Linked DNA regions of Arabidopsis thaliana. The protein of the gene in region 2 purifies or fractionates together with the protein of the main gene of each other region. This does not show direct contact. Each region holds a gene or a part of one and is shown on either strand. Other genes may lie near its edges. The genes, in order: AT5G08630, AT1G44835 and AT4G18060.

Evidence for each region.
Region 1: the proteins of AT1G44835 (region 2) and AT5G08630 fractionate together in Arabidopsis thaliana (co-fractionation; one large-scale study listed by BioGRID). This does not show direct contact.
Region 3: the proteins of AT1G44835 (region 2) and AT4G18060 fractionate together in Arabidopsis thaliana (co-fractionation; one large-scale study listed by BioGRID). This does not show direct contact.

What each region holds. Positions count from the first base shown.
Region 1 is NC_003076.8:2,801,127-2,804,880, forward strand, and holds the start of AT5G08630 (DDT domain-containing protein), read right to left. Parts: upstream 2,046-3,754; 5' UTR 1,861-2,045; exon of another isoform or gene 1,552-1,860; intron 1,034-1,551; 5' UTR 1,013-1,033; coding exon 900-1,012; intron 671-899; coding exon 498-670; intron 263-497; coding exon 1-262. Other genes in the region: FLS1 (flavonol synthase 1), read left to right, coding at 2,883-3,349, 3,421-3,748.
Region 2 is NC_003070.9:16,938,196-16,941,949, reverse strand, and holds the start of AT1G44835 (YbaK/aminoacyl-tRNA synthetase-associated domain-containing protein), read right to left. Parts: upstream 2,150-3,754; 5' UTR 2,042-2,149; coding exon 2,003-2,041; intron 1,656-2,002; coding exon 1,596-1,655; intron 1,498-1,595; coding exon 1,444-1,497; intron 1,349-1,443; coding exon 1,288-1,348; intron 1,159-1,287; coding exon 1,082-1,158; intron 793-1,081; coding exon 743-792; intron 640-742; coding exon 557-639; intron 457-556; coding exon 386-456; intron 299-385; coding exon 145-298; intron 49-144; coding exon 1-48.
Region 3 is NC_003075.7:10,028,390-10,032,143, forward strand, and holds the start of AT4G18060 (SH3 domain-containing protein), read right to left. Parts: upstream 1,645-3,754; 5' UTR 1,274-1,644; coding exon 1,214-1,273; intron 1,009-1,213; coding exon 886-1,008; intron 763-885; coding exon 693-762; intron 589-692; coding exon 434-588; intron 337-433; coding exon 235-336; intron 153-234; coding exon 1-152. Other genes in the region: AT4G18070 (suppressor), read left to right, coding at 2,450-2,555, 3,180-3,754. UniProt on the Arabidopsis thaliana protein: May be involved in the recruitment of DRP2A to the accessory protein complex and in the negative regulation of its GTPase activity.

The DNA.
Region 1 (3,754 bases), on a different chromosome or scaffold from region 2:
GACTTCAGAAAATTTCTACTAAATGGAAACTTCTTCCATGACAGATCCTCCCCAAAGAGCACTGTGTTATCATCTACTTCCTTGTTTTTGTCAAGGAAGCCTACCTCATACTGAGGTTTACTATCCCCATCTGATACTATCCTCAAGATTTTGCAAGGATGCAGTTCCCCATCCCTTTCCCCATACAACTCTGCGCCAGGGAAAAAGCAATCTTGCAACTCTGTCGCTATTTTGTCAGCAAGATCTTTCAATGAAAGCGTACCTTTTCAAAATGGAGGAAAAAGAGTCAGAAATAATGCTCATAAACCAGAGATTTCAAGTATTAAGAAAATTATCTTACACAAACAAATTCAAAACGGTAAAAAGGTAGTCCTGATTTGCAAAACTTATAGAGAGAAACCGAGAAAGGTAAAATCAAGACTTGGACACTCTGCAAATCAAGACTTCGACACACTTATATCACATAAAAATAATCAATGAAGGAGTTAAAAACTTACTGAATTGGATGATGCGTAAAGCAGGTGCAACTAGCTCTCTGGGCAGAGTTTGAACCTTCTTGCCTGCCAGTTTTTCTGAATCTAAGGCCTCCTCGTAGCTCAAGCTAGTTTTACCAGTAGACTTACAAGTCCAAACTCGGTTGCGATACAGATTTAACCTCTTCAAGTACAATCTATTTTATGTTAAGCAAACAAATAGTTCTGACACGGCATGTGCACTGATAAACATGAACAACCAAGCCTTTGAAGAATAATATGAATAAAGGTTGTCCCAGAATGAAACAGGCAAACAGAATTACAAGTTTTAAGCTTATTTCTCTTTCCTCTAACTGCACACAGAAGGAGAAGGCAAATATTCAAAACATAAGTCTTAAAATTGTAACAGTTACAGAATAAGGATACTGATAATCTCGAAAGATCTCATTTGTTAGACGAACTTGATAGACAAGTTCTTGAGGCTCCAAGTTCTTTGGGGGCTCCAGTAGTTTATGTGACTTCTTTTTTAGTAGAGGCATCCTTCAAATGGCAAAACCAACCTGCAGTGTAGACAAAAATGAATGGTCTATATAAGTGATTCTCATATTCACTAATGTGAAATCCTAGTAAATGTAGAACCAGGTCATCCAAGCAAGAAGGGAATTGTATACAAAAGCAAGACGTCACAGTTGTTCCAAAGCGGAAAATGTAAACCATGGAGAACAGAAAATCAACCCATAAGGCGTTTAAGGTGACACAACGGTCAAGTAAAACTTAGCAAACGTACAAATTTGTGGCACAGAATGCAAATGATTGCATGCAAGCCTAGAGCTGATTCTAATTTCTACTGAATTCGACAGAGCCTATGGAAAAGCAAGTGGTACTTGTGAGATCATGTGCAAAAAAGAAAAGCCAATGAAAAATGTTAAGAAAAGCAATGCAGAAGAAACCGAGATAGCACTAAACCCTAGAAAAATCGCAATCCCAATCGAAATTAGAAAAGATCTGAAACCATGGGACAAAATTGACACTTGAGAGCAAAGGAACCAAAACGAAACCGAGGAATCAAAACACATACCCAAGAGAGATCGAGAAAAAGAAAGCACTATCATGCGCCACTTTCGGAGAATCCAGAAGGCGAAACGGACAAGTAAAACACACAAAAAGCAGTCAAAAAAGCATAACAACACATGTAACAAAGAAGAGACGAACACAATCATCAATAACAAACAAAACGGAACGAAAATTCGAAGCTAATGCAACGAAATCACAACGAAGAAAGCAAAATCGCAGAAGAAAAGAGGATCGATGTTCCCGCCACAACAAAGAAAACGATTGGAGAGAATTATAAACAACGAAATTAGAGAGACTCAATCAAAAATCTTACGGAGAATGTATGAAATTGGGAATGCGCGTCGTCGAGAGAGAGAGGTGGTCTCTCAAGGAAAGAATACAAGTGTTGAGATCTCACCGTCTCTCTTCGTTTTTCTCTTCGCTCTCTCTCTCTCTCTCTCGCTCTCAGCTCTTTTTGGTCGTCGTCCTTCCTTATGGGAAAGACGGGAAAAAAAACTTAATATGCGAATTAGCCTCTCACCTTTTTTTTGTTATTTTATATCTTAAGTAGCACTCGGTTTCCTTTTTTTGTTTATACAGGTGTTGCTGTTTTAGAGCCCTATACTGTAGTTTTTCCTTTTTCTATAGTAGCCCAATAACTGGGCCTTGTCTTGTTATATGGGCCTTGAATCTTTAGCTTTAAATGGGGTTGGATTTGAAACCAGTATTTTATTCATTGCTTACGATTTAAAATGGTAAAGCCTTAACTCTCCACCATTATTATTTGATTAAATTCCAAATGATGTTTGACCAAAAAAAGAAAACTTCAAATAACCCACTCTAGAAACCAAGTCATTAAATAATGTTTCCTGTGTAAAATTCATGGACCAATCGAAATGCAGAAGAAAATCTTTACAGTAATTAGAATGGCCAACCAAAGTTTGTTGTTTTTGTTTTTGTTTTTGTCAACGACTCAAGATGATATTTATTTGTGTTTACATGAACACCCGCCAAAAATATGTACTAAAATATCTATTTCAAATATGGTATTTTATGGCCTAAAATATAATAACATCACTTTTTTCCTTTTCTTAAAACTACCACCACAAAACAACAAATCAAATTAATTAAATTCTTCATCCATAAATCTATCAAAACTTGGTACCAAACTCGTGAGTGACGAAGCCTCGACGACTTACACATATCAACACGTACTTTATGTGGTAGTTGTCTCTATCCAGCGGCCAAGATTTCGCCACGTCCTCACTTCCTCCCTCCTTAAAACCACTCGTAACACCATCCCCCAAATTACATATCCGCCATTGTTTCCGGCAACGCAAACTACCAAAAAAAATAATGGAGGTCGAAAGAGTCCAAGACATTTCATCTTCTTCTCTACTAACAGAAGCAATCCCGTTGGAGTTCATCAGATCAGAGAAAGAACAACCAGCGATCACAACATTCCGAGGTCCAACGCCGGCGATTCCCGTCGTCGATCTAAGCGATCCCGACGAAGAAAGCGTGAGGCGCGCGGTGGTGAAAGCGAGTGAAGAATGGGGGCTATTCCAAGTGGTTAACCACGGGATTCCGACGGAGCTGATACGACGTTTACAAGACGTCGGAAGAAAATTCTTCGAGCTTCCTTCGTCGGAGAAAGAATCCGTCGCTAAACCGGAAGATTCGAAAGACATTGAAGGATACGGAACAAAGCTTCAGAAAGATCCAGAAGGTAAAAAAGCTTGGGTCGATCATCTCTTCCATCGAATCTGGCCACCGTCATGCGTCAATTACAGATTCTGGCCTAAGAATCCACCTGAATACAGGTAAACCAAAACAGAATCATCAAAAATTCAAATTTTGTAAACCGAAGTTAACCGTTGGTTTAATGTATTAGGGAGGTGAATGAAGAGTATGCAGTGCATGTGAAGAAGCTATCGGAGACGTTATTAGGGATTCTCTCGGATGGATTAGGGTTAAAGCGTGATGCGTTGAAAGAAGGTCTCGGCGGAGAGATGGCGGAGTATATGATGAAGATTAACTATTATCCGCCGTGTCCTCGGCCGGATTTAGCTTTAGGTGTACCGGCTCATACAGATCTCAGTGGAATCACTCTTCTTGTTCCTAACGAAGTTCCTGGACTTCAAGTTTTCAAAGATGATCACTGGTTCGATGCAGAGTATATTCCCTCCGCCGTCATTGTTCACATCGGCGATCAGATTCTGGTCTGA
Region 2 (3,754 bases):
AATTTTCAGCGACGCTCTTCACCTTACAAGCTGGCTTGCTCGTTTTGGCTGCACCGTTGAAGAAAACCGAGTTATATAAACCAATCCTTCACGGTTTAACAAGACTTGGAGCGCATGGTTAAGAAACTGATAAATCAGGCATACCTGAAGCCACAGGCTTGACCTCTGCTGACACACTTTTTGGAAGAGGAATTTGTGTAGAAGATGTTTGATTAGGAATCTCGGGAACAATAACTGAATTAGACGGAACACAAACAGCTAGATCTGGAGCCTGGTCTTTACCAACTACCGGGTTAGCCTGAAACAGCAAAAGGTTCAAAAGGTTAACCCTGAGGAAAGGAACTGTGGAACATGAGTTCTCAAGTTAAAGGTTTAGAGTATTTGCCTCAAGGTCAACGTATACGGGATCTCTCCCAATCGACTTCAGAAACTTGTCCAGACCCAATGTGTTCAGAGCTGGAAATGATAGGAACCAACCAAATTAGATATAAGCTAAAATCTGATGTTATGAACTATTTTGAACCATAAAAGAAAAGTCTGTAATGAAAGAACTTACAGACTGAGACATCGTTAGACAATGGGTGGAAGATGCAACGCGTTTGGTTCTTGAATTTTTGGTCTAACAAGAGAGACACGTCTCTTTAACATGGAAAGTTTTAATAAAGAATGTCAGTCAATGGAAATAATTAGGAACTTGGAAGGGAAAACACCATATGAACCAATACCGTAAGGCAAACAATACCTTGCTGATTCATTTACAACTGCAAACGGGGTAACACATCCGAGGGATACCTTTAACGAAAAAAGAGAGTAGCACGAGTGTCAAAAATTGTAAACATGAATGACAATAAGTTCAATATATTCGTGTGGATTTGTTGTAAACTGCGATAAGCAAAACAAACATATCACCATGCATAAATAGATCATTTAAAGCAATTTGGTTTGGAGAAACTTTTCTTATCAATTGTCAAAAAAACTATCGCTACCATGGTTCCCATGTTACAGCACAATCATTTAATAAAACTCTTTCCAGATATATATAACAAAACACAGTAGCAGAGGAAAAGACTATGAAAAATACCTGCAAAAGCTCACCAAGTGCTTCTTCTGGAGCCATTCTAATCCCTCCTTTTCCAAGACCAAGTCTCTGAGATAAAACTGTTTAAATTAGAAGTCACAGGGAACACACATTAACATCCAAAAAAAAAAACATTCAAACTTCACAAAGCCCAGAGACTTCTTCTATGCCAATATCCACAAACGAAAAAAGGAGAAAACATATGTTACCTTTCATGTCAACTTTCGTATCCACCATCGCTGAAACAATATAATACCGATGTTTCTTGTCCTGCAAAAACAAAATAGAGGCATATGCACCATTAACAATCAACTAATACTCTAACTTGATAATGCCTTTAATGGTGTACCGCTTTGAAAGACTACCTTCAAGAAGAGATTCTTACTCAGTGCACCCTTACTACTGCTAACATACTTGGCCTGAAGATTTAAATACACAAAACAAAGCCTTATAAATCCATCTTTAAACATCATACACTTAAGTTTTAAAAATCTAAAACATTTTAAGGTATATTCACCTGTTCTTCGACGGTTAGTACAGGCGGATGTTCATACTTGGAATAATCAATCTCAAGTTCCTGAAAGATAGATACAAATCCTTAATCATCAATTCACATTGCCACATTTTTTTAACATTGACACTAACAAAACGTGTAACACCAAAATTCTTGACCTAAGGGTTAGAATCTAAAAGTAGACATTGAAAAACTTCTGAGTTCAAGACGACTATACACATAACTTGGAATCCATAGATACACATCCAAATCCATTAATACACATAACTTCTTCAAATAGAATCAAGCATAAAACGAAGTAACATTTTCCGTTCTCTGCTAATGATTTATCTAATCTTATCTGACAAATTCCAACAAAAGCAATGCGAAATGAAAATGATGTAATTGAGTTTAAAGGTGAAAATGGAAACCTGAAGTCGATCAAGCAACTGATCTTTGGTGAAACCCATTGAATCGAAAAAATCAAAAATCAGAGAATTTGGACTGAGAAAGGAGCAAGGAACTGCAGATTTTGTTGAGAAGACGAAAGTTTAGGTTTTGCAGATTTTGCAGTACTGGATTGAAAAACATTAAACCTTCTTAGTAAACTAGAGGATTACACATTGGGCTTTTCAATCCACGACCATACTTAACTTGCAAATGCCTAAAAGGCCCAACATATAACCACAGGTCATAAGAAAATACAAATTTTTAATTTAAAATTAAACTGTTTTAAGTTGTCATAAATGGTGCACCACAAATAAAAAAAAGTCATCATAAATTTGGGCTACGAAAAATATCTTTACAAGAAGGATTGATTGTAGATATTTGAAACTGATTGTGTAGAGTTTAGTCTCGGTGGCGTATTCGCCTGATGATTGACCAGCTTTCTCCAACCTATTAGACGAGTTTGAATGTTCCGAGCTTTAATTTCTTATTTTAAAAATTTTTTTTTTTATAAATATTAGGAGGTTCTGGACCGAATCCCGTAATCTCTCAGACCCGAAACCACAGCATGTAATATTAGTTTCGTCCCAAACGTCACTCGAATCGGCGACCTCTAAGGTTCGTCTAGGGTCTTTACCAATTGAGCTAACGACGCTTGGTTCGATTTCTTATTTTTACCGTTTATGTAATTCTAAAGCATATTGTTTAACCTGTTTTTCTCGTTTATTGTTGTCTGATGTTATTTTTGTAAACTCTTCTCCTCTAAATTGGGCAGCCGATCATAGAGTTATATTTTAATATATGTGTGGTTGATAAAAAATATATATATATTAATATTTTCTAATAACATATAAATATAAAAGTAGTTAGAAATGAATATAAAATAGTTAAAAAAATATTGATTGATTTTTGTGTAAATTATAAAAATCATTAGTTATGTTTAATTAATTATATTTTTGTTGTTGTGTGTTTAATTTACGTGTTTCAACATTTGGGGGACTGACTTTGTGGATTTGGATATGGTTCATTCAAATAGATTTTGCTAGGATTTTTGTTTAATTAGTTGTTTTAATTTCTTGAATAATTAATCTACGGCTTTAAAGAGTATGGTTACTGCTTAACACACTATTCTTAACTTTTTTCTCTGATGTGCTGAAAGAACACTTTTCAGCCCCAATACAACAAAACAATCACTGGTATGAGAAAATAAAATAAGAAATCCATATTTTTTCATCAAATAAGTAATCAATTTTGACTATGTATTAAGACCATCTCCAATGTATAGCTCTATATCTTGTTCTAAAATAGAGTAACTCAATTTTAGAGATGAGTTTTTCTCCAATGTATATCTCTATTTTCTACTCTAAAAAAGAATATTCTTAGAAATATTCTATTTCTATTTTATATACTAATACTTTTTAATTATATAATTTAAAATTTGACCCCATATATTATAGATTTGCAAAATTCGTATAAAATATGAAATTATTTAAATTAAACACTTATTATTTATTAAAAATCATTACATCATATAAAAATAATAAAACATTACAAATTTTATTTTAATTAACACCATTAGAATATTTATTATAAATAACACGGTTAACACCATTAGAATATTTGTTTTAGTTTTTTATGTTGTTTATTTTAAATTTAGTACTTGTTTGCTTCTTGTTAAGTTTATAAAACTATTAAAATTAGTATTTGTTTGTTTGTTAAGTTTATAAAACTATGTG
Region 3 (3,754 bases), on a different chromosome or scaffold from region 2:
ACAGCGGCTAATGCAGCAGTTGCTTCTTTACCAAGGACTGCCATATTTGCTTTTAGCTCTTGCATTTTTGCTTCCGCTAGTTGAAGCTTTGCTACGTTTTCTGGAATCGGAGCTTCTCTTACACGTGCTTGCCGTCTAGAGACTTCCGTTGCCTGTTTTGCTTTTAAGTTTTAACTTACATTACAAAATAAAATAGCCAACATCATCATAGAACTAAGATCTTAAGATGATTACATGTGTCTCTGCTTCTTGTCTCATGCGGCTGTAACGTTGAGCAAGATGACGAGCATCTTCAAGAGGAGAACCGGCAACCATAGCTCTTAGAGGATCCAAAACCTTAACGGCATTTAACAAAAAGGTTTTCTCTTGTTATCTACTAGATTTAATTCTACGTAAACATACTAAGATTAAACACAGATAATCCAAGCCGAACCTGAGAAGCCAAAAGCTTGTTGAAGTCTTCTTGTTCTTTGTCTACATGTTTCCGTGCATCACCGTATATAGCTGCAGCCTTGGCCAGTATATTCTCATCAATGTTCTGACTATTTTCGTTCCCATACCTACAACAGTCTTCAGACAACTTGGTTCCTGAAATTTTAAAGAATATTAAAAGAAAACTCACAAAAGTATCATAGTATAACTTAATTCAATGATAGGTAACACAAAACAGACACTCATAAGTAGTTAAGTACCTGCTTCAATGTGTCTGAGCCCGATCGTGGTAAATGCCTCAGCTGCTTTAACAATATCTCTCTGGAACTCCTGAAAGTGACAATAACATATGTTTGAGGGTATTGTGCTACGATGAATCATACTGAAACCTTCTCCCCCAACAATGAACTCATATAAAATGTGACAATGCCATTAGGTCAATATCAGTCAAACCTTTGCAGAACGAGTAGAGCGGTAAAGTTTATCGAGTTGATGATGCCTTTGCATTTCAAGCTCATCAATCACCATTACATCTGAGCTTTCATAACCAGTCCCACTGAATTGCTTTATCACAGCCTACATTCCCCATTACCACACATCAATCAACACATCATCACAACCAAGATTGTGTAACTCTATAATACTCAATAATATACAAATCAAAACCCATCAAAAAGTTTCCATTTTTTTTAATCCAAATTAGCAACAAAGAACCTAAATTGAGCTTCGTTTCGCTGAATCGGTAACAGTGAAACTAGTTGCGGCGATGAAAAGGAATTACCAGTTGCTGCTTTGCGACTTGGTCTCTAAGCTTACTCGCTTGTCTTCTAAACGCATCCATTGTCACTTCTCCTCTTGATTTCCCCAAATTGATTCAGAGATACCAAAAAGAGACAAGCTTTAAAGGATTTTGAGTGGAATTGAGAAATCTCAATTAGATCAGAACAGTTTAAAAACTGACAAAGCAGATCAGATCTGATTCAGTAGAAATGTATGTTCTTCTTCGACTCGATGTGTCACTGATTATCCCTCTGAGAAAATCAGTCAATCACAGAGCACACACATCGATCTAAGCGGGTCGGGTCGATTCGATTGATTGAACCAAACCGGTCCGGTCCGGTCTGATTAAAAGGAGCGTTCGCGATTGAATTATTTGGAAGCAGACGAGGCTTTTCTACTAAAAACCTTACGTTACGACTTACGATTATTATTGAGTAATTAATTAAAATTAGCTAAATCCGTTTGGCATAAACTGAGATTAAGTTAATTAAAACTTAAAAGTATAGGTATTAACAAAAAAACTGACATGGACAACTCATAACCACTTGTTATTTGTCCCCACTCCTCCCATATCATTTTGTCCTAACTGCCATTACATAATTATAATCTGAAAAGACAACCTATATACTTTTTCTTTTATTTTATTATTAACGTTGCCTTTCTCAGTATAGTATAGATTCCTACTCTACCGACTTAAAATTTCAGTGAGATATTTCATTAAATTCCATGTTCTTAAAACAGGGTTCTATTGTTGATGTAAACTTAAATCAAATTATAGTCAACCAAAAGACAAATGTATATTGGTATCTAAAGTACTGAATGACAACATTTTTTTGTTTTAATTTATCTATAACACAATCAAGTTGTAAAGATGATTTTGTTTGAACAAACTTTACAAAAATAATCTCTATCCATTATACTATTTCGTTAATAGCTAAATTAGTAAACCAAACGCGGAAAATAAACGAAACAAACGCGGAAACAAAATTACAAGAAGATCAATTAGTGATTTTACAGTTAAAAAAAAGCAATAAAACTCAGAAACCCTTTCACATGTATGTATAAGAAGAATCTAAAACTTTCCCACTTCCACCAATTTGAGTTTTGAAACATTTACGGCTCGACAGAAAAGAAGACGCCATTATATTTTAACAGAGAGAAATCAAAGAGACAAAAGCCACGATCCGCCATAGCTGTTTTTGAGATCGATCCCCACCAAAGGAGCCTAGCCTAAATCATGCCTTCAGGTGCTAAGAAAAGGAAAGCTGCCAAGAAAAAGCAAGAGGAAGAACAACAACAACAAGGATCTTCTACTCTAATCAACCTCAAATCCAACAACCATGGTTTTTAATTCTTTTAACACCCCATAATCTCACTACTACTTTCTTCTTTTTGCCTTTTTCTTCTTGTTGTTGTCTCTCTGTATCTCTCAATTATTCACTCACACCACACACGTTTAGGCCACCTTTCTTGTTTGTTTATATATTTGCTTCGCTTTAAATCTGAGTTTTTTTTTAACTTTGTTCTCTGTATAGTTTCTTCAAGTTTTGATTTTTATGGTTTTGTGCTCATTGATCTAAACAAATGGGTATCTTTTTTACTCTTCTTTGTGTTTTGATTGGGGTTTTAGGCTCACAATTTTGGGATCTCAAGCTGTAAAAATTTGATCTTTCGGTTAATTTTAGCATGTTCTGCTTCGTAATCCATATGGGTTGAATCTAGTTTTCTGTTTTGGACTAAAGGATAGTTTTGTTTATCAGATTCATGATTATGATTGAAGTTGTTTATCATTTGCTGAGTTTTGTTTATCTCTGATGCTTTGGTTTCATTAGTAGTAGCTGTGCCTATTTTGTTTACTAGTATATGTTTCATTCTCTGGATGGTACAATAGTTAGATTTGACTTGAATAGTCAGTGTTAAGTCACTCTGTTTGTGATATTGATTGGATTTGTAAACTGATGTGCTAGATTCGAGAAGCCAAGGTGACAAGGAGAGCGATGATGGTGTTAATGAACGCATAGAGATCACTGATTCAAGCCATGATCATGACAAGAGCTCTAGTAGCAGCAGTAGTAGTAGCAGCAGCAGCAGCAGCTCCAGCTCGGATGATGAGTCACGGGAAGTCAAGAAGATAGATGATGATAAGAAGACTGGTGATGATGTTTCTGAAGTTATTACTGTGAGTTCTGTGCCAATTCAACCTGTGCCTATTGCTGCAGATGCTCCGTTTATGGGATTTACTGCTAATGCGATTGTAGAGAATACTGGTTTGATGGATTCAGCTGTGCCGAATGATCCCGAATCTGGAGAACTGGTTGAGATCTCGCATGTTGATACAATAGTCTCAAACGAGGCTGATGATAATTCTTTGCCTAAAGCAACTGAGATTGCTGCTGAAGTTGCTCTTGCATTTGATGAGATTAGGCAGACGTCTTCAGGTGCTACTGACTCTGATGTGAAAGAAAATGAGGGAAAAACTTCGCCTCTTCCAGAATCCAACGGTGTTCCTGAAGGCAACATAGAGTCTAATGTTGTCATTTCT